Linked DNA regions of Ovis aries. The protein of the gene in region 1 interacts with the protein of each later gene in a biochemical or structural test. Links are inferred from orthologs where the notes say so. Each region holds a gene or a part of one and is shown on either strand. Other genes may lie near its edges. The genes, in order: RB1, USP4, CASP3, MCM7, DNMT1, CCNE1 and MRPS18B.

The links.
Region 2: the proteins of RB1 (region 1) and USP4 form a complex in vitro, tested with the Homo sapiens proteins (2 studies listed by BioGRID). The link is inferred for Ovis aries from reciprocal best matches to the Homo sapiens genes RB1 and USP4.
Region 3: of the proteins of RB1 (region 1) and CASP3, one has a biochemical effect on the other in vitro, tested with the Homo sapiens proteins (2 studies listed by BioGRID). The link is inferred for Ovis aries from reciprocal best matches to the Homo sapiens genes RB1 and CASP3.
Region 4: the proteins of RB1 (region 1) and MCM7 form a complex in vitro, tested with the Homo sapiens proteins (2 studies listed by BioGRID). The link is inferred for Ovis aries from reciprocal best matches to the Homo sapiens genes RB1 and MCM7.
Region 5: the proteins of RB1 (region 1) and DNMT1 form a complex in vitro, tested with the Homo sapiens proteins (2 studies listed by BioGRID). The link is inferred for Ovis aries from reciprocal best matches to the Homo sapiens genes RB1 and DNMT1.
Region 6: of the proteins of RB1 (region 1) and CCNE1, one has a biochemical effect on the other in vitro, tested with the Homo sapiens proteins (9 studies listed by BioGRID). The link is inferred for Ovis aries from reciprocal best matches to the Homo sapiens genes RB1 and CCNE1.
Region 7: the proteins of RB1 (region 1) and MRPS18B form a complex in vitro, tested with the Homo sapiens proteins (2 studies listed by BioGRID and IntAct). The link is inferred for Ovis aries from reciprocal best matches to the Homo sapiens genes RB1 and MRPS18B.

The regions. Positions count from the first base shown.
Region 1 is NC_056063.1:18,457,776-18,462,217, reverse strand, and holds the start of RB1 (retinoblastoma-associated protein), read right to left. Parts: upstream 2,869-4,442; 5' UTR 2,667-2,868; coding exon 2,539-2,666; intron 1-2,538. UniProt on the Homo sapiens protein: Tumor suppressor that is a key regulator of the G1/S transition of the cell cycle. The hypophosphorylated form binds transcription regulators of the E2F family, preventing transcription of E2F-responsive genes.
Region 2 is NC_056072.1:50,827,469-50,831,180, forward strand, and holds part of USP4 (ubiquitin carboxyl-terminal hydrolase 4), read left to right. Parts: intron 1-1,209; coding exon 1,210-1,350; intron 1,351-2,252; coding exon 2,253-2,370; intron 2,371-3,515; coding exon 3,516-3,689; intron 3,690-3,712.
Region 3 is NC_056079.1:14,236,197-14,239,626, forward strand, and holds part of CASP3 (caspase-3), read right to left. Parts: intron 2,066-3,430; coding exon 1,937-2,065; intron 1,620-1,936; coding exon 1,444-1,619; intron 1,101-1,443; coding exon 980-1,100; intron 1-979. UniProt on the Homo sapiens protein: Thiol protease that acts as a major effector caspase involved in the execution phase of apoptosis. Following cleavage and activation by initiator caspases (CASP8, CASP9 and/or CASP10), mediates execution of apoptosis by catalyzing cleavage of many proteins.
Region 4 is NC_056077.1:36,785,409-36,789,667, reverse strand, and holds the start of MCM7 (DNA replication licensing factor MCM7), read right to left. Parts: upstream 2,871-4,259; 5' UTR 2,773-2,870; coding exon 2,742-2,772; intron 2,276-2,741; exon of another isoform or gene 1,839-2,275; intron 1,596-1,838; exon of another isoform or gene 1,556-1,595; coding exon 1,476-1,555; exon of another isoform or gene 1,155-1,475; intron 1,061-1,154; exon of another isoform or gene 948-1,060; coding exon 783-947; exon of another isoform or gene 613-782; coding exon 488-612; exon of another isoform or gene 414-487; coding exon 233-413; exon of another isoform or gene 1-232. Other genes in the region: AP4M1 (AP-4 complex subunit mu-1), read left to right, coding at 3,190-3,247, 3,350-3,438, 3,824-3,930, 4,018-4,114, 4,215-4,259. UniProt on the Homo sapiens protein: Acts as a component of the MCM2-7 complex (MCM complex) which is the replicative helicase essential for 'once per cell cycle' DNA replication initiation and elongation in eukaryotic cells.
Region 5 is NC_056058.1:12,547,650-12,551,361, forward strand, and holds part of DNMT1 (DNA (cytosine-5)-methyltransferase 1), read right to left. Parts: coding exon 3,679-3,712; intron 2,818-3,678; coding exon 2,625-2,817; intron 1,743-2,624; coding exon 1,658-1,742; intron 1,464-1,657; coding exon 1,335-1,463; intron 1,178-1,334; coding exon 895-1,177; intron 574-894; coding exon 432-573; intron 1-431. UniProt on the Homo sapiens protein: Methylates CpG residues. Preferentially methylates hemimethylated DNA. Associates with DNA replication sites in S phase maintaining the methylation pattern in the newly synthesized strand, that is essential for epigenetic inheritance.
Region 6 is NC_056067.1:39,910,911-39,915,071, reverse strand, and holds the start of CCNE1 (G1/S-specific cyclin-E1), read right to left. Parts: upstream 2,802-4,161; 5' UTR 2,597-2,801; intron 2,129-2,596; 5' UTR 2,100-2,128; coding exon 2,080-2,099; intron 1,973-2,079; coding exon 1,885-1,972; intron 1,657-1,884; coding exon 1,588-1,656; intron 1-1,587. UniProt on the Homo sapiens protein: Essential for the control of the cell cycle at the G1/S (start) transition.
Region 7 is NC_056073.1:27,485,982-27,490,164, forward strand, and holds the start of MRPS18B (small ribosomal subunit protein mS40), read right to left. Parts: upstream 2,842-4,183; 5' UTR 2,819-2,841; coding exon 2,741-2,818; intron 1,422-2,740; coding exon 1,313-1,421; intron 1,042-1,312; coding exon 944-1,041; intron 817-943; coding exon 748-816; intron 1-747.

The DNA.
Region 1 (4,442 bases):
ACCACACAGTGAAAAATGTTTGCTGGTCTGGTGAATCACATACTTCAGAGCAGCAAAGTAGCTTAAAGTAAGTACAAGAGCTAAAACTGGGAAAGTTGGGTTGGTTAACAGCAAGAGGAAAGCAATAGATAATATTACAAAACCAATTCAATATCATTAACTTTTGCTAAAATGCAGTCTACCCTTCACAGTGTTTTATTTAATCTACTTACTAGTAGTTCTTAGATGATGATTAAATTCAAGCTTTCTTTCTGATTTTCCTTAACCAAGACAGGCAGACAAAAAACTCTTCTTGGCTAATTCTTTTTCAATCAGTTAATGTCTACTTGACCTCTAATAATAATAGTACAAGGAATCGCTAATAATTTTTTAGTATTTATTATGATCCCAGACAAAGTACCTTAGATGAAGGTAGACTGAATCCCCACATCAGCCTATTAGGTAAGTCCTCTTACCCTGTTTTACAGATAAATACCAAATCAGAGAAGTTAAAGCACTCACTTGAAATCACAAACAGTATGTCAGAAACCCTGATAGAAACCCAATAATCTAACTCTATAATCCTTGCCCTTGAGCACTATTCCAGACTGCCAACCCTTCTCTGAAACATAATTAACTTTTGGTTATCTCAAGAATGAAGATGGTGTGCTGTTTCCCTTAAGTAAACTCTCAACTCTCAAAGTAGGCATGGGCTCCATCACTGGAAATGCAATTGGACTGGGCCCTGAACCCACCCCAGGTAAAGTTCTCAGCTTCAGACTGCCAGGCAGTGGTTCTATCTTTGTTAAGTAGTTAACCAGTAGTTTGATAGCCCATAAGGACACATTTTATGGGTAAGGATAGATCAAGAACAGACTTTATCTTGCATGGTTCTGACTTAAAGAATTTGTGATAGTTTCATCATTTAAAGTATATAAAATGAAATGCTGGAAAATAGAAGGAAAAAAGACTTTCTTTTCCCAGGTGCTGGCCAGAACTTCAGTATTTCTGGTTACTCCACAATATTCAAGAATGCTTCCGAGCTCTGTGGATAACACAGGGTTCTTTGCAGTAGACTTCACTGCTCTTACCAAAAGGAAACTGGAAAATACTGGACATATCAGAGTTTAATCAGAAACTAATGTCTTCTCCTAGAACATCCCTGGGCTTTCTTTTTTTTTCCCACTAGTGAGAATGATTTTTAATTGATAAGACAGTCATATATGAATTTCTAATAGCCTTTCACAAGCCATTTCCAAAAGCTTTTCCCAATCTTTAACAATTTGTCCCGAATTCTCTTAGCGCAGGGGAAGGTGAGAGAAATAGGGCCTGCTGATGGGCTAGGACTGTGGGAGGGAGACAGAAAGGAGTCCCATTTCCCTGTAATTGATGTGCAGTCTCAAAGCAGGGCCAACTCTGACAATAATAATGGATAATTATACTCGTTCAATTTTTGGTTCTAACCATAAAGCATCACAATCAAGAAAAATAAGATGTTGCAATACATTATCTTCCTGTCAAAGTTCCACTGCATTATCGTAGACTTGCTTAAAATTTAGAATCCACTTACGAGAAGAAAAATAATTCCACGTGAGCACAAAAACACTCGTTTTGTACTCCAACAAACGAAACAAAACAAAACAAAACAAAAAAAAACAAGGACACCAGGATCCTTGCTGGCTCAAAGCCGAAAGGCAAAATGGAAGAAATAACGAGGCACGCTGAAGCCAACGAAAATACGCAAGAAGAGTTCTAGAAAACAAGAGAAAAGTTCAGGAACTTTTAAGCTCTTGGGCTAAACGTCTCACAATATTTTTGCCCAGGTACGAGTTCTTTCTAAAGAGTTACGTTCCACCAGTCACTACCTATGGCCATGAATCCCCAAGACCGAAAAGCCCCTTCTAAGAGAACGCCACAAGGCGCCTCAGCCGAGCTTCCTGGGGGGTAACCGACACCCAGGACCCTGCCCTTCACGTCCGCGGGCATCTCTGCCGCTGCACCCAAGGCTTTTCTGACTGTCTCTCCCAGGACTGGGCTTCAGATACAGCTGCGCGCCCGGGGGCGGTGGGGGGAGGGGGGCACTTCCAACTGTTGCATCGCTAGAGACCAAAAGAGAAAGTCAAAAGACCACTGGAGGACTACAAATCTCAACGGGGAAAAAAACCTATCCAGCAAACACCAGTTAGTTCTTTTCTTTTTTTCCTCTTTTGCGTGTGATGGGGTCTCGAAACACCCGCCGGATGCGCAGGGCCGTCTCGCGGAGCAAAGGCGGCACCTGTCACTTCGCTCAGCGACCCGAGCCCCACCCGCCCGACACCTGTCAAGCTGGAGCCGAGACCCCCCTCCCGGCCGCCCTTCCCAGGCGGCGCCCGCACCCAGACCCCTGTCAGCTCCCTCCCGGCGCTCCGCCGCGAGGGGTGGTAGAGGGGGGACCGTCCTCCCGCCGGGACCGGCGCCCCGCGGGGACGCGCCCCCGCCTAGACGCCGCGGCTGCCGCCGACGCAGCCTCGGGGCGCCCTCCCCGCTCGCCGCCCGCCGCCGGTGGCTCGGCCCGCTCACCTGGCCAGAGGCAGGTCCTCGGAGCCGCTGTCCTGCTCGGGGTCCTCCTCAGGGGGCGGCGGCGGCGGCGGGGGCTCCGCGGCGGCGGCGGCGGCGGCGGCTGCTCTCCGGGGGGTTTTGGGCGGCATGACGCGCTCGCAGGGCAGGCGCCGGCGGGTGCTGGAGTGGGGCCGGAGAAGGGAGAGGACGCGCGCACCTCGGGCACGCCCCGTCCTCGGCCGACTCCCGTTACAAAAATAATTTGAACGTTCCCCTGAGAAAAAAACCGGGCCGGCCCTCCCCCGCCCGGCAACCGAGCGCCGCGTCCAACCGCGGGAAAACGTCACTTCCGCCCGCGGCGTCACGTCCGCGAGGCTCGCGGGCCCGCCGGCGTCGGGAGGGCACCGGGGTGCTGGGCGAGGCGAGGCGAGGCGCGCGCCGGGCGGGCGGGCAGCCCCGGGCCTGCAACCCAGGCGCCCGCCCGGAGGCAGCGGCCGCCGCCGCCGCCTCAGCCTGCCTCGCCTCGAAACTCGCCCCTGCGGGCGTGGGTGGCCGGGTAAGGGCGCTACCCGGCCCGGTGGGTGCGCGCGGGCTCCCTCGCTATAGCCGGGTGGGTCCGGGGCTGCGGCCGAGGCCCCCGCCGGGGAGTATCGGGCGAGCGCACCCGGGGCGGGCACGCCCCTCTCCTCCGTGGGCGGCGCCCTCCCGCTCGCCCGCGCTCCTCCCGCCCAATCCGTTAAGCGAAGTCAGCCAAAACAAAAACAAACTGCCTCTGGGACACCTATGAGGAGCTGGGTTTTGCCCACTACCAGCGGAGACCAAGTACGGGACGACGAAACTGGCCTTTTGAGAGTTCTTTGAGGGAAGAGGGGTGGGGGCTGCGGGCAAAGAACTGATGACAAGGTGCTGCGCGGTTTTAATAGTAGCGTAAAACCAGGAAGCACCATCGAAACGCCTTAAGGACATCTTCAGAGGAGCAGGGGCATTTGAGTAGAAGTTTGCCAGACGGACTTCACATCTAAGGAGGACTTACTATGTGCACAGGGGATTGTTCTGGCCATTTTATCTCATTATCTTACCGAATCCTCAGAAACAGCCCTTTAAAATGAGTTGTAGTCGTATTACACTTTGGATAGGGAAGACAGGCTCAGAGGAGTTAATTCATTTGCCCAGTACTCCAGTATTCTGGCCTGGAGAATTCCATGGACTGACAGGCTATAGTCCATGGGGTCGCAAAGAATCAGATACGACTGAGTTACTTACACACACACACACACACACACAAACACACACAGCCGATGGGTGGTAGAGGTTTTGAACTGAGATATATGTGACTCTACTTATCCATTAGTGAAGTGAAGTCGCTCAGTCGTGTCCGACTCTTTGCAACCCCATGGACTGTAGCCTACCAGGCTCCTCTGTCCATGGGATTTTCCAGGCAATAGTACTGGAGTGGATTGCCATTTCCTTTTCCAGAGGATCTTCCCAACCCAGGGATCGAACCCAGGGCTCCCGCGTTGTAGACAGACGCTTTACCGTCTGAGCCAATACGTTGTGTTAAAGAAAACACCAAGAAGAGAGAAATAGCATGTGCAAGGCACAAAGACACCAGAAAAGAGTTTGCAGGAATTACTATGGCCAAACATTGACTTAGAAACTGTGTCTCCTGTCTCTTGGTATTTACTTATGCTAATAGATTGCCTAGTTTGAGTATCTGCTTTTGTATCACTGGCAGATGCTGTGGGTTGCCCGCTAGGAGCTTCCCAACTGAGGTGCTATGAATAAAATACAGCTGTGTTCTGACGTGAATTCCCTCATCCTTGGAACAGCTGAGCAGGGCTGAGGCAGCCAATGCCTTCAGGCAAGTGGTAGCTCTTGGGTTTATCCCTGTGGGCCATACAATGGATTATCATTTTCTGTGTATA
Region 2 (3,712 bases), on another chromosome or scaffold:
TAGCGACTTGTCTGCATAGGAGGTTGGGCATTCTGGCAGCACCCGGGACAGGCCTTAGATGTTTGTTGAAGTCCCCTGTGTGCCACAAGAGTGTGTCCCTTGGCTCTGCCAAGCCTCACTTAAGGAGCTGCCATAGTTGTTGGACTTCTCTGCAGCATGAAGATGAGGCTCAGTGAAGCAAATGCTCTTCAGGATTAGAGAAGGTACATTTCTGTGGGTGGTTGAGAGCCTGGGGAGCCCTCTTTCCCTCTCCCTTGCTGTGACTTCAGAGTGTGAAGCAGAACTCAGTTTCTGACACCCACTGAGGCCCCTAAATAGTCCCTGACATCTCCCTACAGTGTGGGTACAGGCTCGCTCATCTTTATTGCCACACCCTACTTTCTTCTCACAGGGAGCCCTGGTTGACATCGGATCCCATGAGGCTGGGCACTCTGCAGGGACAACACTTAATTATTTTCTCTATTCTAAAAATAACTCCCAATCTGGAAGGAAAATCACCATTGTATGTATTTGAAACATGGAAACATTGCAACATTGCGGATAACTCATTTCCTTCTACCTGTCTTAAGTGGATTTTGGTAGAAAACTTGATAAAATTGTTGTCAATTTAAGATTTGGGGCAATTAGCACTTGAGTTAATTAGTCCAAAATTAGGAATGAATCTTAAAATAAGACACTGAAAAATACTGAAACAAAAGTTTGAAACAGGAAACATTTTCACTTTGGTAAATTTCAGGAAACAAAAGCAGTTGCCTGGAATAGCATAGTGATACTAAGTTGCCATTTTCATGTTCTGGTATACTTAGAGCCATCTGTTTAATTCGGGTCTAGTGTTTTGAGATAATTCATCTCATCACCATTTTTCTTTTTCTTTCACTGGTAAGTCTTAAAATTCAGGGAAGCTGATGATTTATCAATCAAACCAGGATGCCCTGAAGGTCAGCCTTGTGGTTGGGTTATCTCACTGGAAGATTCAGTGTAGGACCATGTGGATGAATGAGACAGGAAGACCAATTAATTTCTTTACTCTCATGCCAATAAAAATTTAAGTTGAAGTAGCGTGAAAACGGGCTGTTTGCAATTAATTTTAAATAACTGAATATGGAGAACATGTGTTTCTTGAGAAGACACCTTCTTCTCAAGCAAGCCTTAAAGAGGGCTTGCTTCTGTGCACAAAGTCAGTAGCATTGTTTGTCTTCTCTCTCCCAGATCAAGCACTGCGCCTAGCAGAAATTTTACTACCTCTCCAAAATCATCAGCAAGTCCCTATTCCTCAGTATCTGCCTCTCCCATTGCAAATGGTGATAGCACTAACACCTCGGGGATGCACAGCTCCAGTGTCAGCAGGGGGTAAGAGCAGGTTCTTTCATTTTGCTTCCTTTCCCGCCGAGTCCTCTCCTGGGCCCTCCCTGACAGCTCCTCTGCTGCTGCCCTGAGCACATGCAGGACTCGGGTTCCCCATGAGAGCCCGCTGCACGTGGCTTCTCCTTCCATTTCATCCCCCCAGTAAAGAGTGCCTCCCAGTACGTTGCTTGTCTTCCTACCAGCTGGTGTTTTCCCATCACTGCATTTGTCTGTGAAGGGATAGGCTGGCCTTTTGGCAGAATGGCTATCGGGGTGACTGTCAGCTGCGGCGGGGGTGGGGCATGGACTGCCTGCTTCTCCTCTGTGTGGCTGGGATCCTTCTTCCAGGTGTGTCAGAGCACCTGCCATAGAGCGCAGATAGAGTGGTAGAGGAAGGTGAGGTGAGAGAGTGCACGCACACTCAGGCACTGCCAAGAGCAAGCGTAGCCGGGTGGGTGGTGGCAGGTGCAGGCTTCCATCCTGGTAACCACAGTGCTCTTCCCCAAAGTCACCTGGCAGTTAGCCCTCTGGAAGGATATAGAATTAGCATTTGCCAAAGCCTTTGCGACCCCGTGGACTGTAGCCCACTAAGCGCCTCTGTCCATGGGATTTCCAAAGCAAGAGTACTGGAGTGGATTGCCATTTCTTTCTCCATAACAAAGCTAGAGAGCAGAGGATTCAAACAGCCTCTCTTCTTTTCCCCTTAAGGATGTGCTTACCACCTATTACCGTGTCAGGTCAAGGCGGGGTTGAGGGAGCTGGAGGGCTGGGGAGGGGAGTAAAGAGAATTTGTATCATGGGGTCATTATCAAGTGAGAATTCTAGAGGCCCAGGTGAAGCCCCAAGACGCATCTTGAGGGCATGTGAGCAGCACTCACTTGATTGCTGGTGTGGGTTGTGTTTTCCAGTGGATCTGGCTTCTCTGCTTCGTATAATTGTCAGGAGTCCCCATTGACTCACGTCCAACCTGGGCTCTGCGGACTTGGAAACCTGGGGAACACCTGCTTCATGAACTCTGCTTTGCAGGTAGGGGGGAGAGCTGCCATCTCAGTTAACATCGTGTCTCCACGGTACTTGAGGCTGGGGTGGGAGTGGCCTCTGCTGTGTCGGGAGGATCCTCTCCAGGGTCCCTAACAACCCGTGGTTAGTGCTTCAGGAATCTCTGCCAGTGCATAGCCACTGGGTGGTACAGAATGGCCTCATCAGTGTTCCTGGCTTCAAAATGTCTTCTCAGTTTGGTTTGGTTTTATAATGAAAACATTTTGAGTTTTGTTGACCCTTAGAGAATGATCTCAAAAAGTACTGGAATACATGCCTGGTTGGTCTCTAATGGGATGAGATCTCAGAGCAGCTGGTACCGTGCCACTGTATTCTTGCCTGAGGCTGACCATCTTCACCAGTGAGCTGTCTCACTCAGCTCTTGCCTATTGAAACTTTATTTATTCATCCACCAAATATTTATTGGGCGCATACTGTGTAATGGGATTGTTGAGATCATGGGCTGGAGTTAAAGTCCAGCTACAAAGTTAAGAGGGCACAGTCCCTAATAACTGCCTTCATTTCTGACACCATTGCAAGTTTGGGGGTCCCTACAGATGACCCTCAGTTTGTTAGTTTGCTCAAACTCATAGACTTCACTTGAAAGTAATTCTCCTTACAGTTACAGTGTATTATGGGAAAAGGATACAGGTTACTATCTCACAACTATAGAGGCAAGTACTGTAGATAAAATTTTAGCAGATCAAAATCAGTGAGGTCCAAGTAAAAGTAACACATAACAAGCGGGGGTGGGGGGGGGTTGTGCTAGGAAAACCAGACTGTTTTAAACAGCTGAAAAATTAAGCATGTCTGTAAATACACTGACAGAGTGAAGGAATAAACTGTGATCAGGCACTTGGGATCAGCGGCCTCTGCCCTCAGCTTGTGTTGGAATCGGTTCTTAGGCGGTGAGCTTATCTCAAGACAGTGTTCCTGGAAGGTTCACCACTATGTGGCCACCAGCCCTGGCCTTTGAGAGACTGTGCCTTCCTGTTGTGAGCCCTCCCGAGAATCTGAAGGGAGTGACCTTCATTTTGTTGGAGTGACCTTCACTGTTCATTTAGAACTGGGTTTTTCCTGTGTGTCTGTGTGCTTTCCAGAAGGCGTGTGAGCTGTGATCATTTCTCTTTCAGTGCTTAAGCAACACAGCACCGTTGACCGACTACTTTCTCAAAGATGAATACGAAGCCGAAATCAACAGGGACAACCCCCTGGGAATGAAAGGGGAAATCGCAGAGGCCTACGCAGAGCTCATTAAGCAGATGTGGTCCGGCAGGGATGCTCACGTGGCACCTCGCATGTTCAAAGTAGGTTGATATGTGTCTTTCCT
Region 3 (3,430 bases), on another chromosome or scaffold:
AAAGAAATAAAAAAGGATCATTATAAGTAGCATGGTGTTGCAGTGAGATGATTGGCTTATCCAACAACCTGCTTATGTACGCACATACATTTGAGGGTCTTAAATTTGTCTACAGGGAAAGAATGGAGTATAATAAACACATTATAGCATATTCAAAAGTCCAAAAAGGGGAAATAGTGTATTTATCGTTATTTTCCCAGATAAACTAGTGGATTCATTGCTGTGTTTTTGGCCACGTTGAGTGGCTTGGGGGACCTAATTCCTGGACCTGGGAATGGAACCCGGGCCCACAGTAGTGAAAGCACCAAGTCTTAACCACTGGATTACCGGGAAGTCCCTGGATCCACTGCTTTTAATCTGAACTGGAAAGATGCCTGGAGGTTAAAATAAATCATATCAACTATATTTAAAAATGTTATACTGTTTAAAAATACACTTGCCCTGTATTTCCAAACACACCCTGAGTTAGTTGTATGAGTAAACAAGTCCATGATCAATATATATTAATTTATATGATGACAAGCGCTCACACACATAACGTGTAATACAACCAGAGACAAAGCGCAGGTTGATAACCTAGCCATAAATCATTTTTAACCTTATTTTCTCTTGTTCCACTTCTACCCACTGATATGCTATTCATGTTTATCCTTTCAGTTTCCTAGCTCCCAAAGAATTCCTGGAAAACACACCTCTCTCCTATTTTAGGAAGTGGGCGAAGCTCTGACTTGGCCTGTATTATAATATGGATTCCAGGTGGTGTCAAGTTCATGAATGACACTGTGCAAATGTGCTTTCTTACACAGGCACATTTTCTAGCCAAACTGGGCTAAAGACAACTTTTTGAGACTTCTCCGTGGTTAGGGCACCCTAAAACAAGACACAGTGGCTTTTTATGGATATCAAAATCCCTATAGCCTTTGGAACACACTCTTCAGTGTTTAAAATCTACCTATTTCAGTATCTGTAAGTTTCTTACCAGGTGCTGTAGAATATGCATACAAGAAGTCTGCCTCAACTGGTATTTTCTGACAGGCCATGTCGTCCTCAGAACCACTGTCTGTCTCAATACCACAGTCCAGTTCTGTGCCTCGGCAGGCCTAGAGGTTAGAAAATAAACACCTATTTAAAAATTAGAAAAAAAAAGAAAAGAAACATTTATTGGAAAAAAATGTGTGTACATGCATAAATGTGTAACTTATCCCTAAGAAATGCAAAGGCTCTATAAAAACTGATGTTAATTATTAAGAATCATTTTGCTAGAAGTCTAAAAATTAAAGTTTATGCTATGTCTCCTAAGCAGTGGTTTAAATAAATAAAAAAGTAGCAATAGTTTAGTAGCTTCAAGGAAAAAAAAAATTAAAAATCCTTTGGATAATCCACAATGGAGTAAATTAATCCCTAAAGAAGCCTCAATAACCAAATCGCTCAGTTATCTATTACCTGAATAATGAAAAGTTTGGGTTTTCCAGTCAGACTTCTGCAACAGTCCCCTCTGAAGAAACTTGCTAATTTTTTCAGATCGACGGGTCCATTGGTTCCAAAAATGATTCCTTCTTCACCATGGCTTAGAAGCACGCAAATAAAACTGCTCCTTTTGCTATGGTCTTCCTTAGAAACTGGAAAAACATTTATAGGCAAAAAAAACCAATGCAATTTTATTCAACAATTTCATATGTACTGTATGGGAGTAAGATGAAGAAATCTGAGAACTGAACTAAGAGATCGTGTAAGCCCAGCTTGGGGCAGAGCAGCAGAGCAACACACCTCAGACTACTCTAGGGAGTCGGTATGAATAACTCGGACTTACATAAAATGTACAGAGTAGGGCTGTGTACTCTTTAGTTTCACAATTCTCATGCTTTACTTTCATGTAGGTTATAGCTAGATTGTACATACATTGGAAATGAAGGTCATTCTTTTCATTATTTCTTACCGTCGCTCATTAATTCCAACATTTCTTTACGTGTAAGATCGTTTTTAATCCTGACTTCGTATTTCAAGCTCGTGAAGGTTTCCCTGAGGTTTGCTGCATCCACGTCTGTACCGGACCGACAGGCCATGCCTTGAACAGAAAGCTACTTTTAATTGCATGAAAAAAAAAGATAAACTGCTTTGAAATGAACTATTCAGGGATCCACACAATCCACAAGAAACTCTTCCTTTCAAATGCTAAGGAAATTCAATATTCTGACAGTGGTGACACTAAGTCGCTTTCATTTCTTCGTATACAAGACACTTCATGATATAATCTGTTATCTGTGTTCTCTGTTACAGTCACAAAGATGTTTTTCACAGCTGCTTAGATAGTGATAAACAAATGACTTAAATGCCTAAAAAGAGAGGTTTGGTTAAATAAATTACAATTCATTTATAATATGGGATATTATGTTGCCACTGAAATTTTGTAGACAAAATTTTGCCATAGGAAAATGGTCACTATTATTAAAAGAAAAAAAAAAGAGTAGAAAATAAAAGGATCCTACTTTTAAGAAAAAATTATACACACACACATAAACATACACAAACACATACACATCACCATACACAGACGTATATATCAACACACACCTCACACACTCAGAGCAACTATTTCTTTGATTCTAAGTTTTCAACAATTCTAAGATACATCAGTAGTTTCATCGTATCTTTTTGGGGGAAACAAAAAAAACCCCATAAACCACTAGGCCACATTAACACTGTTCAAAAGCGTCTAAGCCTTCCGACGACCATGAAACCATGATCATGACCGGCTTCATCTGCAGAGATGTGGGACCCACAGCAAGAAGAGTCCAGCAGAACTCGAACAAGGCTCTGCAGCTGCTGTGTGGCCTGTACCCCGTAGTCCTGGACTTTCTTCATCCCTTAGAGCACCTTCCACATGCATGTATGGACTGACTGAACAATGCCCTCAGATTTAAAAATCTAAAGTATTAGGCATAGCAGGGGGAAGGCACTCAGATAAACTTAACATATATGGAGGAGGCAATGGCACCCCACTCCAGTACTCTTGCCTGGAAAATCCCATGGGTGGAGGAGCCTGGTAGGCTGCAGCCCATGGGGTTGCTAAGAGTCTGACACGACTGAGCGACTTCACTTTCACTTTTCACTTTCATGCATTGGAGAAGGAAATGGCAACCCACTCCAGTGTTCTTGCCTGGAGAGTCCCATTGACAGCAGAGCCTGGTGGGCTGCTGTCTATGGGGTTGCAAAGAGTCGGACACTACTGAAGTGACTTAGCAGCAGCAACAGCAACACATATGAAAAAAAAACCCAAACAACTAGATGTTTCCAGCTCCAAATTATTGTTGATTGTCTCTGAGTGGTGTGATTACGAATGATTTAAATTTGTTTCTTTTGCTAATCTGTAATTTCTGAAACTTATCGCCATATATTATTTTTACAAAATTAGAAGTAAGCTCATCAAGGT
Region 4 (4,259 bases), on another chromosome or scaffold:
AGCCACGCCCCTCCTCCGGCAGAGACGATGAAACCTTTGGGACTGTCTTAAGCCGTGCAAGGTACACATCAACAGACACAAAGAGAACAGACTGGGTGGAAAGACCACTCCACCGTAGAGAGAAACCGAAAAGTGACCACACAGGAAACAGAAAAGGCACCAGATAAACACCAGGAGGCGAAACTCATTCTCACAGAATTAAGTGTGTTCCCGTTCTCTGCTCCACACATACCGGCTGGTAGGTTTCCGCCCCGCACTGGTCGCAAGTGTAAGTGGCCACCACCATTCTTGGTTTGACCTCAGAGACACGAGTGACAATTCCACGCACTGTTACTAGCTTCCCCACAGAGTCAGCCCGTACTTCCCGGATCACACGAGGCTTGTTACTGCTGGGGCCTTGAAAATACAGCTCACTAATGGAGAAAGTGGTCATTAGCAAGGGTCTGGGGACCTGAACCCCATGCCCGTCCCTACCGTGGTCACTCACAATCTGCGCATGAGCTCAGGAGGGTACTGGTTTTGAGGGCTTCGGGCTGCCCCCGGGTCGCGGCTCCGCTGCTCCATCATTAGCCGGTGCTCAATGTAAACATCCAGGACGTCTTTATTTACTACCTAAAGGAAAAGAAAGGAAAACAGGAAAAGTGAGCGGCAGAATGGTGAAAGGAAAGAACGTAAGAGTGCCAGGCAGAAACCACTGACTCCTTTGGGTCAGCTCGGAGAGCATCAGTACCCAGGAAGTTTCTCAACACAAACCCAAGTTGTGTGCCCTGCATTTTTCTCACCTCCCTCTCCTTGTATTGAGGCAGCAGCTCTTGAACAGCATCAGCAAAGAGCCTGGCATAGCGCTTGGTGTTCTCACAAATTGAGTCCACCAGCTCAGGGTCATCCTCAGCAATGTCATCTAGGTCTACGTACATGGCCACTTGCTCCCGATGAGCCAGTTGAACCTGGGGTGGGGAAGAGAAAGCAGCGGAGCCAAGTTTATCTTACCAGTGTTCACAAGCAAAAATTGGTCATTACGAGCTCAGCACACAGGATCCAGGCTCCACAAGGGAGAAAGGTGTGTATCACTACGTTTGCAATAATCAAGGTGTTTTCAGGGATTGAGGAAGCTGAAACTGAGTCCTGTCGAGTCTCACTTTGCTTTCTCCCAGGTGGCACAGTGGCCAAGAATTCGCCCACCAGCGCAGGAGACACAAGAGACATGGCTTTAATCCCTGGGTCGGGAAGATTCCCTGGGGAAGGATATGGCAACCTGCTCCAGTATTCTTGCCTGGAAAATTCCATGGACAGAAAAGCCTCGTAGGCTAGTCATAGGGTCGCCAAGAATTAGACTGAGCACAGACGCAGCACAGTGATACACAAGTATCAGGTATGGTGCTAAACTCACCACTTCCAGAAAGACATACCTGCTAAAACAAGCCAGGCCTTATAGCTCGTCACCACCCCTTCCCTCTACCTAACCTTAGACTCACCAACTGGTTCCCATACTTGAACTGCTTCTTGCCAGATTCGTCATCCTGGTAAAACTCTTGTAGGAACTTCTTCACTTTTTCTGTAAAGAAAAATAAAGTCAGGACGGACTTTTTTTCATATACCTTACTGCAAACCCTTGATAGAGATCTAAAAAACTTACTTTTGTTTAAAGTGAAATCTTTAAACAAATTAAATGAACATTCAAATAGACCTACGTAATTCTCCCCAACAGAGCAAAACTCCTTTTCCCAAGTCTGTGTTGACTTAAGGAAGAATAAGTGGCCCCTAGCAGTTTAGAGTATTACCCAATACGCTCCCCCCAGGGGAATTCCACTCTCTGCCTTAATTAGAAATCTCAGTACCCTTTTCTAAGGGCCTTCCACACACGGCAACACACTCAAGTCTCACGGTTCTCAGCTTTCCTTTTACGTGCTTTATTCCCCCTTTCTTTCGGTCCCTTAAATTGTTGCTCTCCCGGGGATCTCCGCCACCAGGCCCTTCCTCCGCCCCACCCCCTCTCCCGCCACTGCTTCCGCTCTTAGTAAACAAAGAAGCACATGGGCCCAGATGCCGCCGCCTCACAGCCCGGGATTCCTCCGCCCGAGGAGGGAGCCCGTCCGGCGATTGGCCGGCTCGTCGAGGGCCACCCTGCCCCACCCGACCACTTCATCCCTCGGCCTCCGCAGAAACCCCTCCAATTCCAGGCACGCCCCCACCCTCGGTCGCTCTCTCCGAGGCCACCGCGCGGAAGGACACTGTTTACACACGACACTCCCTCCAACAGCGTCGCGCAACTTCCGCCCGCCTCCACTTCCGCTAGGAGGTGGACCTAATGCGGCCCAATCCCCGCGCGCAGCGGCCCGGGACCGCCCGCCCCACCCTACCCCGGGCTTCGGCGCGTCGTGGGCGCTGGGAGTGCCTAAGCGCGCGGAGAAAAGCGGGACCGGGGGGTGCTGGTTAGATAGGCCCCTGAGGGCCTGCTCTTTCCTAGACGCGACCCTTCCCTCTGGAGCTTCCAGCTCGGGTGTCCGCATCCCCTCCCCATGACTCTCACTCTTTTCCTCGACACGATCACCAGCTCTCCCCCGGCCTCGGCGGCCCGTGCGCACCTCAGGCACCATGCGCCTCTACTCCGCCACCTCCCTACCCTGCCTCCGGCCTCGCGCGCCGAGAGCCCGGCCCCCCGGGACTCCAGCCCACACCAACAGGTGTCGCCCAGGAAGCTTCCCGCGCAGAACGCCCCTCCTACACTCGCAGACTCTCACCTTTCTCGAGCACGTAGTCCTTAAGTGCCATTGCTGCCGAGGACCGAAAGGCAGCAATTGGCGGGCTCTGAGCTCTCACTCCCCGGCCAGCAAAAAAACGCCCGCGCGGCGGACTGCGGCCGACCAACCGAAATTGGCGCGAAACGTCGCCCCCCACGTGACCAGCGCCGCCGCTTGCGGGCCAATCGGAGAGGATGCCCTTCGTCCCTCCCGCTGGCCGCGGGCCCCAGCCTGGGCCAATCAACGGGCGAACCTGGGCTGAGTGACGGGGAAGAGGCGCGGGTGTTTGGAGGGAAGGCCTGGGCGAGGCGGGGCGCGCGCCGGGTTTCCCGCGGTCGGAGGAGAATCGCTCTTAAAGGGCCAGGCTACTCGCGTCCTTTTGTTCCGGGGCCGCAGGGCGGGGCAGGCCCAACGTTTGCTGTCTCCTAGTCTATTCTCCAGAACGGCCATGATTTCCCAGTTCTTCATTCTGTCCTCCAAGGGGGACCCGCTCATCTACAAGGACTGTATCCTTGGCCAGCGGGGCGGGGGGAGAAGGGCTGCGTGGGACTAGAGCCCCAGTGCCAGCGAGTGTCGCCAGCTCCTTAGCTTTCCTTCCACTCGGTCAGTCCGCGGAGACAGCGGCGGCCGGGATGTGGCCGAGCTCTTCTACCGGAAGCTGACGGGACTGCCTGGAGACGAGTCTCCGGTTGTCATGGTAACCACTGGCGGGAGTGGGGGTGGGGTGGTGGGTATGCGGTTGGTGGTCTGGGGTTGGGAGGCGCCTCCTCCAGGAACGTTCTCTAAGAGCTCATACGCGGTGTGGAAGGGGGTACATTCTTCTAAATAATATTAATGGCGGTTTACTGATCGCTAACTGCACCAGGCGCAGCTCTTCACACGTTTCAATCCTCAGCCACTTTGGAGTAGGTACTATTACTAACTTCATTTACACATTAGGAAGCTGGGCCTTGGGGAGGTTTCGTATGTGGCCTAAAGTCACGCTGCTAGTAAGTAGGGAAATCAGGATACCAGCCTCAGTCTCATGGCCAGGAATCACTGCAGCTTTCTTCCTAACGTTTTTCTCCGTGCCTATGCCTCAGCACCACGATGATCGTCACTTTATTCACATCAGACACAGCGGTCTCTATTTGGTGGCCACTACTTCAGAAAACATTTCTCCCTTCAGCCTCCTGGAGCTGCTCTCCCGGTGAGGAGGGCAGGGCTGGGCACCCGGGTGCAGGGGTCAGGGAGTCAGAGAGGAGGAGTTATGCACCCTCTGTCTGGGTTTTCGCAGGCTGGCCACTCTTCTGGGTGATTACTGTGGCTCCCTAGGGGAGGCGACCATCTCTCGCAACGTGGCTCTGGTCTACGAACTCCTGGATGAAGTGCTGGTGAGGTTCCTCCCTGTCCCCGCTTCCCTGAAGATACAGTATTCGTTTTCACCCCTTCCCCCACCGACTACCCAAAAAGTGACTTTCCGCTGCCCCCTAGGACTATGGCTACGTACAGACCACATCCACGGAGGTGCTGAGGAAC
Region 5 (3,712 bases), on another chromosome or scaffold:
CCCCCGCCTCTGGCCTCTGCGTGCGCCCGTCTGCCCCTGCCCAGGATGGCTGCCCCCGCCTCTGGCCTCTGCGTGCGCCCGTCTGCCCCTGCCCAGGCATGGCTGCCCCCGCCTCTGGCCTCTGCGTGCGCCCGTCTGCCCCTGCCCAGGCATGGCTGCCCCCGCCTCTGGCCTCTGCGTGCGCCCCTCTGCCCCTGCCCAGGGATGGCTGCCCCCGCCTCTGGCCTCTGCGTGCGCCCCTCTGCCCCTGCCCAGGGATGGCTGCCCCCGCCTCTGGCCTCTGCGTGCGCCCGTCTGCCCCTGCCCAGGGATGGCTGCCCCCGCCTCTGGCCTCTGCGTGCGCCCGTCTGCCCCTGCCCAGGGATGGCTGCCCCCGCCTCTGGCCTCTGCGTGCGCCCGCCTGCCCCCGCCTGCCCCCGACCTGGGCGCACCTGCAGCACGCCGAAGGTGCACTGGTAGCCCATGCGGACCAGGCAGCGCAGCGTCAGCTTCAGGACCATGGAGCGCTTGAAGGAGACGAAGTTTCGAACGTTCTCCAAGAGGAAGTAGCGGGGCCGGTAGTAGTCACAGTAGCTGTGGGGGACAGGAGTGACCGAGAGAGTCAGCCCCACGCCTGGAGAGAGCAAGGCGGCCTCCTTGGCCAGAAGTCACTCCCAACTGCTTTGACGCTTGTCAAGACAAACCTGCCGGCTCTCAGGGTCTCTCCCTAGTGGAGAGGGAGCCGTGAACTCCCTGAAGGCTGAGAGTGGTGCCTCGCTCAGCAGCGGCCTTCTGTAGGAGCGAAGGCTAAAGCGGTGACTGCTTGGCCCTGGCACCAGGCATTGCAGCACAAGGGCAGGCCATCTAGTTGCCCTTGGATGGCACTGAACGCAGAGGGGCTTTAGCTCTGTTTACCTGAGGAAGGAGACCACCAGGGAGTTCTTGAACTTCGAGTAGGTTCGAGAGTTGAAGCGGTTCATGCCACTGAAGCCCTGGCAGGGCGGCCCACCACACAGCATCTCCACGTCTCCCTTCTGAGGCAGCTTCTGGCCGCGGGAGTTGGTCACCTCCCCAGCCATGACCAGCTTCAGCAGGACGTTGCAGTCCTCTGTGAACACCGTGGACCCAGGGTTGTTGAGCCGGAACGCCTGGGCCGCAGGGTCCCACATCTCGATGGCCCAAAGTGTCTCCGAGATGCCTAGGTGGGGGATACAAGGACACAGACGTGTCATGAACTCCTCAGAAAGAGACTCTCTAGTCCGAACTGTGGCCAGGGCCACAGAGGTCTTCCAGACACAGCCTGCCTGATCCAGTTTTTAACAGGTTGTGTGGAGAGACCCGCCCCCGGAGCGTACCTGCTTGGTGGAAGCCTTCTGACAGTCCCCCACAGCCGGAAAACACGTCCAGGGTCCGCAGCTTTGGCAGTTTGATTTCTGTCTCCAGTTCACTCGGCTCACACGTCTGAGATTTCGTCCTGTTTTTTCCTGCAGGAGATGGACCCCAAGTCAGAGCAGGGTCCTGATGGGCCCTCCTCAAAGCCCCTGGTGACTCAGAGTCCACCTCGTTTTGAGGAGGTAACATCAGAGGTTGCTCTTCCATACTGATTGACTCATGAGTATCCGAGCTAGAGGACACAGACTTGAAGAGGAACCTGGGGGAATGGCACACCACGACATACCTTTCCCCTTCCCCTTCCCTTTATTTCCATGGCTCCGGGCGTGGTTCGGAGGATCTTCAAAGCTTTTGCTCTTGGCGTTATAGGCCTGAGGGGGAAAGAACCACAGCGGTCTGGAAGAGAAACATCAGTTCCCTTCTCTAACAAATAGGATTTAAGTTAATTTGATAAGAATATACTTCATTTCTTCCTAAGTATGGCCAGAAGCCAAGAGGGCTTTGATTCTAATAGAGAAAAGGGGAAAAGTCTATTAATAAAAATGTTTTACCTGCCTGACAGAAATTCCTGCTATTTTAAGTACCTGGACTACTCATTCTGAAAATAGGCACCAGAACCTGGGGGAGACACGGGTTATCTTAAGACCATACATGCCTGTCACAAAGAAGCTGTGCTCAAACAATTTTAAAGTGATTAGCTTAAATCAACAGACTCCTGGCTCTTCTCTCTCTCAATAACCAGGCCACAAGCTCAGCTATGAGGCTGAAGGGACTGGGGGCAGGGATTCATCTCCTGGGCCTAGAGGTCCATTTTCCTAACTCATAGACACTGGCCAGACCAGCAGAGGCCACCTAACAGTCTACAAAAATTGTTATTTGTGTGTGTGTGTGTGTGTTAGTCGCTCAGTTGTGTCCAGCTCTTTGCAATGCCATGGACTGTAGCTCGCCAGACTTCTCTGTCTATGGAATTCTCCAGGCAGGAATACTGCAGTGGGTTGCCATTCCCTTCTTCAGGGACTCTTCCCAACCTACGGTTTGAACCCAGGTTTTCCACATTCCAGGTGAATTCTTTACCGTCTGAACCACCAGGGAGGTCTGAGTTATTGCATGAGGATGTTAAAATATTTCATTTTGCTTTAAGTGTTAAATTCCAGATCAACGTGAGTGTCACAGACTCATGCTCTGGGTAAGTAAACTTCTCGGGCGCTGTGTCTGACCCAGAGGCCCTCCCTGCAGTGAGCCCAGGGCCCCACCTCGAGAAAGTAGAAGCGATCGGGGCCACCAGCAGAGAAGTCCTGGAGGCACTCAGGCAGGTCCTCTCCGTACTCCACAGTGCAGCGGCCCTGCACGGCCTTGAAGTCCACCACGGCCTCCTCATCGCTCCAGTAGAGCAGGTTGATGTCTGCATGGTAACTGGCTGGGGTAGACTTGTGTGTGTTCTCCGGCCTGGGAGTGCAAGAGTCTTTGTTAGTTCATTTGTCGCAAGCTGAAAATGAATTAAACGGCATATTCCTGGGGATGTGCTCATAGGATCAGAGGGTAAAGACTAGGCCCCATGCCTCACTAAGTCACCTTGATTACTAACCCCCTTAGTCGGCACTAAACACCACAAACTAAGTGGGATTTCTTACTGTGATCTCAACTAAGGGTTTGCTTGCTCTTTATGCCTCCAAGAAGACTGGGTGGGCCTGGGTTGAGACCAGGTGCCGACCTCCTATTGAGAAGCATGTCTAGAGCTGCCTTCCTCCCCCTATGCCTGCCAGATTCCTTGTTCTCTTAGTACCTGTTACTTCAAAGACTTCAGAAAAACTTTCCTGTATGTTAGCTAAGAAGTGGAGCAACTGTAGACTTATCTGTATGGATCAGCTTCAGTTTAAGCTCCTAAGTACTATCAGGATCCCCAAAACTCAGTGAAGCCAAGACCTTGGGACAGAGAGAAACCCCAGAAACGGAGAAGAAGGCCTGGAAAGGACAGGAGGACTGGCAGTAGGGAGGGGCGGAACACAAGGGCAACTTAAACAGATATCAGGGTTTTGATGGCGCCTCAGACAGAGCCCAGGATATGCCATGCCTGCCTTGGTCGCACTCTGGACCTCGCTCACTGATCTCTTTTGGACAAAGCTCTGCAGCTCTAAGACAGGAATCCAGGGCTGTGTTACACAGTTGTAGTGATCCTCAGCACCCACCAGGTAGTCAGGAACACCTGGGAGGACTACCTCCTCCACCCCTTAGACCACCACTGTGTGTGCGATTCACTACCTCCCATGACTCAGGCAGAGGCCCCTGGAGGGCAGAGCCCTCACCAACCTGTAGAACTTGTTGACCCTGATCTTGATGTCTG
Region 6 (4,161 bases), on another chromosome or scaffold:
TATCTACTTTAGACAATGTGTAGAAACCTGTTGTCATTAATCTCTGAACCATGAAAATGCCTTCTAGTGGGAAGTAATATGGCTATTCACATATCACATCTATCAGCTCTCTGCAGTCCAGGGACAGGGCCAAAGCCCTGTCTTAGGCACTCCAGGCTCCGCTCCAGTTATCTCTGGAACTGAAACTACTCTAAAACCCCAAGAAGTCAACAAGGACAGCTTTGCTTCAGCCTCAGTTAAAAATTCCAATTCAAAACATAGCTAGGAAGACAACCAATCTTGAATTTCACAAAGCTGAGATTCATTTTAGTAGAGACCCACAAAAATTAACTTTCTTGGTTTGAAGTCTTTACAGGGAGAATAAAAGAAAAAAAAAGAAAGAATTTGAAATGCACTGTCTTATTTCTTTTCCTAAAACAAAGTATCTCTTCTTCTAATACAGCAAGTAAACCATCAAGCTGTTGTTCAATATTAAGTAGAATCTCCCCAGAAATGGTAATTACTAGGGTCTTGTGTGCAATAACAGCTTTACCATGTGTCCCACAGCTTTGAAGACCTTCACTCTTCCAGACCCAGCCGCTATGGCCGTTGCTCACTGTCCTACAAAGTGATGTGCTGCCACTGCTAACCTCATCAGAACCACTTTCCTTGGCTCAAATACTATTCCTGCTCAGTTTTTATCTGTTACAGTGTCAGAAAGCCTAATCAGTTAGTTTGGAGATAGACTGCTTCCCCTACTGGGGCCATAACTACAGTCTCCAGCCATTTCTGGAGGCAGAGAGATAATACAAGCTTTTTGGGCTAGGGACTTCTGATATTATGATGGTACCGTGAACATGCAAGAAATATGGCGGGAACTCCACGAAGGAGGGGCAAGAGAAATGGACTGACTAGTCAGTTTTAAAAATGTGTTGAGATGCACGTATCATTACACAGAATGTCTTACTAATACTCTGGTGGAGGTCAGATCAAACTCCAGGCAGCAGTTATCACTGTACGTAATTGCTGAAGAGGCTAGAAGAACCATCAAAAAGGGGGAAAAAGTTTGAAACATGACCTGAAGGGGGTGGGAGCAGGAAAGGGAAGTCCTTAAGCACCATGAGGAAATAAACACAAGTGTGGATGGGGAGAAGTTGCTTATGAACACACACAAACCCCCATCATCACAGTTACCCGAAGAGAGCTGTGTGTCAGGAGCCCTCCCACAGTTCACTAGCCTACAGCCTAGGCTATAGGACAGACTCCGCCCCTGGCTTGCACAGGACTCTGGGTTACTTTCCTCCTCTAACTGAATCTCAGTTTCCTCAAGGGCAAAAGGAGAGGACTGAGTTATGTGAGGTTCATTCTGGTTCTTCCAGACATCAGCGCATATTTGTAATCTCAGGGATGTCAGTCAGGAACACAGTCCTTCCTGGAATCCCAAGACTGGCAGAGGTCAGTGCCCACTGACAGGCACAGTGCTCAGTTATATGAACTGTGGCCATAGTTGGAGAAAAAGCCTTCAGCAGGAGGCAAGCAAGTATGAGACTCAATGTGACCCCAAACAAGGGGAGCCTCAACTTCGACCCAATCAGAAAATGTACCTACCTGACTGCCACACTGGCTTCTCACAGTCTTGTCAATTTTGGCAATTTCTTCATCTGGATCCTGCAAAAACTAACATAAAACAACCCCCATACCCCAAGGAAACACACCAAACAGCCCAAAGACAAAAACACAGACACAGAGAAGAAAAAGAAAGCTAGTAAGGTTATGATCACCATTTCTGCCAAAAGCTCCCCACTCTTGATCCCTTATCAACAAATACATGGGTAGAACCCATTCTGGTACCCAGTTAAGATTGGGGGGGGGGCATCCTCCCCCACCTGTCTCCTTTGTACTCACAACGGCTACATTTGCCTTTCTTTTCCTGGAGCGAACAGAGACATCGGTGCCACTTTCCTCTTTCATGGTATCCGGTTCCTTCGCATCCCTGCAAAACCAGGATGGCACAGAGGTAAGAGTTCTACCCAAATCTCGGCCCACCCCTCCCCCACCACCGCACACCTTCCCCTTTCCCGCAACGGCCAGGCCACTCACCTCTCCTTTTCCCTCGGCATGGCGTTGGGCGCAGGATCAGACCTCAAGCCTGGGGGCACGAAACGGCAGTGGGGTGAGGACGGCAGCAGAGGGGTCCAGGGCCCGCCGGCCCGTCCCGAGCACCCCTCCCCCTCCCGCGCGGGCGGCGGCGGCGGGAGCCTCCCGGGCCGGTCGGGAAAATGGCCGATGGGCCCGGGGTGGCCTGTCACCCGCGGCGCCACCAGCGGCCCGCGACGCCGGGTCGGAACCCAGGGTGGGTGGGGGGGCCTCAACGCCCCCTGAAACTCTCGCCGGCCCATTGCCTCCCTGGGGACCCCCAGCTGCCTCAGTCTTCCCCTCAACACCTCCCCGGAGCCCGCTTCTGAGTCGCCCTACCGGGGCACCCCGCGCTGACGCCTCCGGGGACCCGGCGACCCGGCCTCGCCCCACCCCCACCCGGGCCCGGCCCGACCCGACCCGGGCGCTCCAGGAGTTCTCGCCCGCCGCGCAGTCCGGCAGCCCGAGGCAGGGTCCTCACCCGAAGCCGTCTCCGCGGCAGGCAGGCAGGCAGGCAGGCGGCACGAGCCGAGGCTGGAGGCAGGAGGCAGAGGCGAGCGGGAAGCCAGGAGGCGGGAGACGGCGGCGGGCCGAGCGCGCGGCGGTGGCGGGATCCGCGCCTGCCCCCTACACCGCGCTGGCGGCCGGGCCGGCTGCTCCTGCGCCCGGCTAAGAGCGGGACATTTAAAAATCCCAGCGCGCGGAACCGGCCCCCGGACCGCCCCCGCGCCCTCCCGCCACCCTCCGCTCCGCCCCGGCCGGCTCGGAGCCCCTCAGCGGCAGCCAGAGGGCTCGGCCCCGCCCAGCCACCGCCCTCAGGACCGCCCTGCGCGGCGCAGGCCCGCCCAGGCGCTCCGGCCCGCCCGGGGCGGGGCCAGCGCGGGGCGGGGCTAAGTGACAGGGCCTGCGCGCCGGAGGGGAGGGGCCCTGGGGCCGTGGCGGGGCCTGCACCGCCCAAGCTGCGGAGCCCGCGCGGGGCGGGACGCGGGGGCCGGCCGGCGCGCGCGGTGGGGCGGGGCTGCGCAGGCCGGGACGCGGGGGAGGTCTGGCGGGAGTGCGGCGGAGGGGCGGGTCGCGGGGCTCTGGGGGCGGAGCCGAGCGGCGCTGGAGCGGCAAAAAGCCGCGTGGCCGGCGCTGGTGGAATGTAAACACGGCGGGCGGCGAGGCTTCGGTCCCCGACTGAGGGGTCGGGCCACTAGACCTGACGTCCGTAGGCCTGCAGCGCGCGCGCACTGTCTCTCCTTGCACGTCTCCTCCGCCCCCGAGACGCAGGTTTCCGGGCCCTGAGTCAGGGTGGGATGTGCCCAAGGTCACAGCGCATGGTCACAGAGCCTAGAACCAGGGCTTCAGGCCGCCAGATCGGGGCCGCCTGTGGAACAGCTGTTACTCCTGGACGTGCGTCCATCCATCTGTCCATGCTCATTCAGCTAATACTCTAGCACCTTTACCTTCCATGTGTGCCTTTCGCCATAGATTTTCCCCTGAGCATCGGAAGACCTCTTTGATGCTGGGATTCCATGCGGCCCTCTTTACCTTAAGCATCAAAGCCACACTCCATGCCCTACAGAACTCCACGTGGACCTACCCTCACCCCCTCTCAGACCTTTCCTTCAACTGCCTCCCATCAGAGCTCCTCTGGCCATCCTCTGTCCTTTCTTATCTCGGGACCTTGGATTTTGTTGTCCCTAGCTCCGGCTCCTTCCAGCTACATCTTTCCTGAGAATTTCCAGGTCTTCCCCAGGAGTTCCTCTCCACCACATTGCCCTGCTGTGGCTCCTGCACAGCACTTGCTGCCATATGTTTCTTGTCCGTGTTTGGTTCTCTTCTCCCTGCCTTGTCTGTCTTGTTCACTGCTGTATCCCCCAGCTCTTGGCATAGTGCCTGGAGGAAGGGAGGCACTTCAATCTTACTTGTGAAGGAATGCTTGGAACACATGGTGACCAAGCCCTTGTGGATTTTACAGGCTAAGGAGACAAGTATTGAACTATCATCACTTGAAAATACCTACTGTACTAAACTTCTAGAAAAGACATATAGCACAGGGCT
Region 7 (4,183 bases), on another chromosome or scaffold:
GCCAGTTTCTGCTCTACCATCTTCTAATACTGCAAATGCAGAAGGGCACATTTCCACTGTCATCTTTATAGTTTCTGAATCCTTCAAGAAACAAGTCCTCTCCTCCTCAAAATGAAGGTTGTTTTTTTTTTTAATAACTAGATTAGACACTGTTTCGTGTATCTGCCCTCCCAGCCCAAGTCTTAACATGCAATCAAACATCAATGACAACAAAATAAAGAAAATCTCAGGAAAAAACTAGTCCAATCTATCTGGAAGTAACTGATTGATACAAATGAAACTTTGGGCATTTCCCTCTCATTAGAAATGAGCATTTCTCTTGCCGATTTAGACTGTAAACTTCATAAGTAAGAGATGAATCTTTTATATATAACCCACAGTAGAAGGCAAAAGTCTGGAAGGAGGGACTTCTCTGGTGGTCCAGTGGTTAAGAATCTACCTTCCGAAGAAGGGGACTAGGGTTTAATCTAAGATACCACATGCCTCGGGGCAACTAAGTCCATTTGTCTCCAGTAGAGAGACGCCCTCGCCACAGTGAAGAGCCCGTGTGCTGCCGCTAAGACCCAACACAGCCATCAGTAAGTAAATACTAAAAGCTGAAAAGAGTAACGTTTTCACATTGCCAGAAAGTCAATGCAAAATGGATTGTAGGGGCCCAGGATATGAAGAATGGGGCACCTAAGGTAATCTCTTTTAGTACTGCAAAGAGGCTTTAAGTTTTTATACTGAAGACAAGATTCTCCTTACCCTAAAGTCGACATGCAGCTTCTGATCCCGGCAGATGGGGCAGGGGTTCCCAGCAACTTTATTTCCACGCTGTAGAGAAAAGTAACAGGCAGGTGAAGACGTTCAAAGCCCTGTCAGAGAACGTACTGCTGCCTCTGTCACTATGGCCTTCAGCCCCACTCCACATCCCATCCATGTGCCATCCTCAGAAACTCACGATACACATCTTTCGAGTCCGCTGTGGGGGTATTCCACCTTTGTGGTTTCGACGGTAGTCAGCCCAGACAGGGCGAGAACCATAGCGGTTGTGGTATTCTGAAATGAAAAGACCATACAAGCTACTCCTGGGTGATGGTGGTGAGCTGTCTCTGTCCACTTATTTCAGACCTCACTTGACGCGCCTCTTGTCCATTTAGAGGTACCTTCTAGGGACTTCCCTGGTGGTCTAGGCAAGTGGTTAAGATCATGCGTTCCCAATGCAGGGGGCCTGGGTTGGATTGCTGGTCAGGGAACTAGATCCCACATGCTGCAGCCACGACCTGGCACAGCCAAATAAGTAATAAATATTAAAAAAATAAACAAGTACCTTCCGAGTCCAGGTATTTCCAGGGTTCATCCTCATAAGGGGAAACAGGAATTGGGGGCAGAGAATCATCCTCAGGGGGGGCTTTGGTGCAAAGAGTCTGGAGGGGAACCTATAAAAGAAGGGGCAGAGAGAAAATGAGACAAGAGTTCAAGGACACAACATGATTGGTTTATTAAACTTACACCGTCAGCAACAGAGGGGAACCTATTAAAGGAGGGGCAGAGCAGAAATGGTTGGATGGCATCACCAACTCAATGGATATAGGTTTGAGCAAGCTCCAGGAGACAGTGAAGGAGAGCGAAGCGAAGCCTGGTGTGCTACAGTCCATGGTGTCGCAGAGTCAGACACAACTGAACGACTGAACAACAGAGGGAAAACGAGACACTGAGTTCAAGCACAAGAACTGACTGGTTTATTAAATCTACACCATCAACAACCGGTATCCCTGCCTCCAGCTGGATCTTGCAAAAAAAGGTAACATTAGAAGATAACTAGGATAGGTGACTGGGAAGCAAATGTATTTGAAAATACAACTCAAAAACCTGGCACACATAAGGTTTCTGTGCTTCCTGAGATGAACTCAGGGTAATGGAGAAAAAAGGGAGAATGTCTATCTTCTTGGAGTCAAGATGTGTGCTACGAAAAGGATGTAAAGGACAGGTGAGTCTCCCAACTCAACTGAATCCTGAATCACTGAGTTGCCCGGTCTTATAAAAAGTTGATGGTCAACATTCCATATGGCAGAACAAACGTGAGTCCTAACGCTATGTCCCAAGCTACCAAGTCTATAATTAACTCTGTGGTAGCCCCTCTCATCACTCTTCAGTCTCACTTTAGGGAGTGGCAGATGGGCAAGCCCTCCAATATCACGCTGCCCCATCAAGAATCTCCAGGGTGGTGAGTACGTGTGACTGAGGGGAAACCTCCATCCAAAGTAGTTATGCTCCCATGTATGCTTTAGGAAGAAACTGATTTAGTGAGATAAAGAGCCGAGAAACTGGTCCCCTGGTCGTGAGAATGTATTCTGGCTTTATTGAGCGATAGCCGGGCTGGTAGTAGTTAGTGTCCCTCAAAACCCAATGACACCCTTGGGCATCAAAGATTTAGACACCACCATACAGTTAACAGTTGGTTTGTGTTTGGCCAAGGGGTCCACATTCCATCGCCTAAATATCCGGCCGAGATGGAAAGCTGGGAAGAGAATGACATCCAACCCTGGCTCTTTACCCTTGTCTCAAGATTAGAAAACGCGCTGTGCTGAGGAATGAGAGGGGAAGGGGGAGGATGGGGGAAGCAGAGCGTTTCCTTGACAGCCAATGTACAAGCACTTGGGAAGCTCTCCGCTCCAGGATCCCTGGCAGTGGAGCGACGACCTAGAGAAAGTACAACCAAATCTGAGGTTGTACAAAATGTGCCCCAAGGAGTTACCTGAACTCCGTAGGCACCTCTGAAGGGCGAAATGTTAGGAAGGCGCCTCAGCAACACGTTCAATATGGAGGCAGCCATCTTGACGTACCCGCAAAGCAGGCACGTCCGCAAACGAGACTGCGCATGTTCCAGGAACCAGAGTAGGGTGGGGCCAAGGACGACCCCGCAGTGCGGAAGGCGGACGCGCGTCTGCGTCAGGACGGAAGCGTGAGGGGCGGGCGTAGGGAGAGGGCAATTTCAACTGCGTCACAATCGAATTCGGCCTTAAAATTGCGTTTTTGCTGAACCAGTCACTATGACTTTTCACTCTCATTCTTAGAGTCTGTGTTTTAAGCAATTTTGAAGTCGCTTTTGACCCTGATCCTTTCATTGCGCATGCGCCGGGCCGATTCTACCAACCCTTGTTGAGAAATGTTCTCGAGGGCGGAAGTGGTGGAAGCAGAGGAAAGGGAGGTACTAGGCTGCTTGGTCACGCGCACGCGTTAGGGCCCCCACCCCCAACCAAGGAAGGAGGCGGAAGAAGGTGCCCGGGGGAAGGGGCTGAGCGAAGGTTAAGGCCGGATATCCAATCAGCTGGTGAGTGGTTTCCCTGGTTGACCAATGAATTCACGCCTCGCGCAAATTGTCTCGCGAAGGGGGCGTTTCACTAGCACGTTTGGGCGCGTTGGGCGGTGTCCTCGTATAAAAGACTCCGCCCGAGCGGGCAGCCGCCATTCTGGGGTTCGTTTAGAGGTAAGTGTTGCCATTTTGTCGGTTGGTGGGTAAAATTTTGCTCGGAGAGTTGGCCTGGGGAACGGGTCAAACGCGGGCTCAGTTGAGAGCCATGATTCGTATTAAGCGGCTGTATTCGGGGTGGGACATGGAAGTGTTTGGGGACAACAAAAATGGTACTTTTGGGTGTTTTAATAGCAGCCCGTACTGATTACATCTTTCTCCCTTGTGTTCCTTTTATCCCAGGTTTGAATTTTCTCGGAGAAAGACAGGCCGGCCACCAGGAGAAAAGAAACAAGCCGCAGCACAGCAACATCTAAGCCCTTGAAAGGATCCAGAGAGAGGGGGGAAAGGGAAAAGAGCAGCCACCAGCCCAACCACTTGTGTCTTCTGCCCCTTCCCACCTATCTTGCCCACCCCACCAGCCCACGCTGCCTGGGACTTGAAATCTGTGGCCGAAGGACCGTCACCACATAACTTCAAAAATAATCAACCACCCACCCTTCCCAAACTCACCCAAGTCCACTCATCCAGCGTTTACTTTTTTTTAATCCACTCAGAACTTTTTTTCTACGACCCCCCTCCCTAAATGGAGTTGGGTGGGGGGGAAATGAATACTGAGTTGGCCTTTATTTTTTCTAAAGAGATTTTTTGATCCAATGAGGCCCCCCAAATAATTGAGTTTTGGGTCCTGGTTGGTTGTTTTATTTTTTTCTCCAAAATTTTAATCCC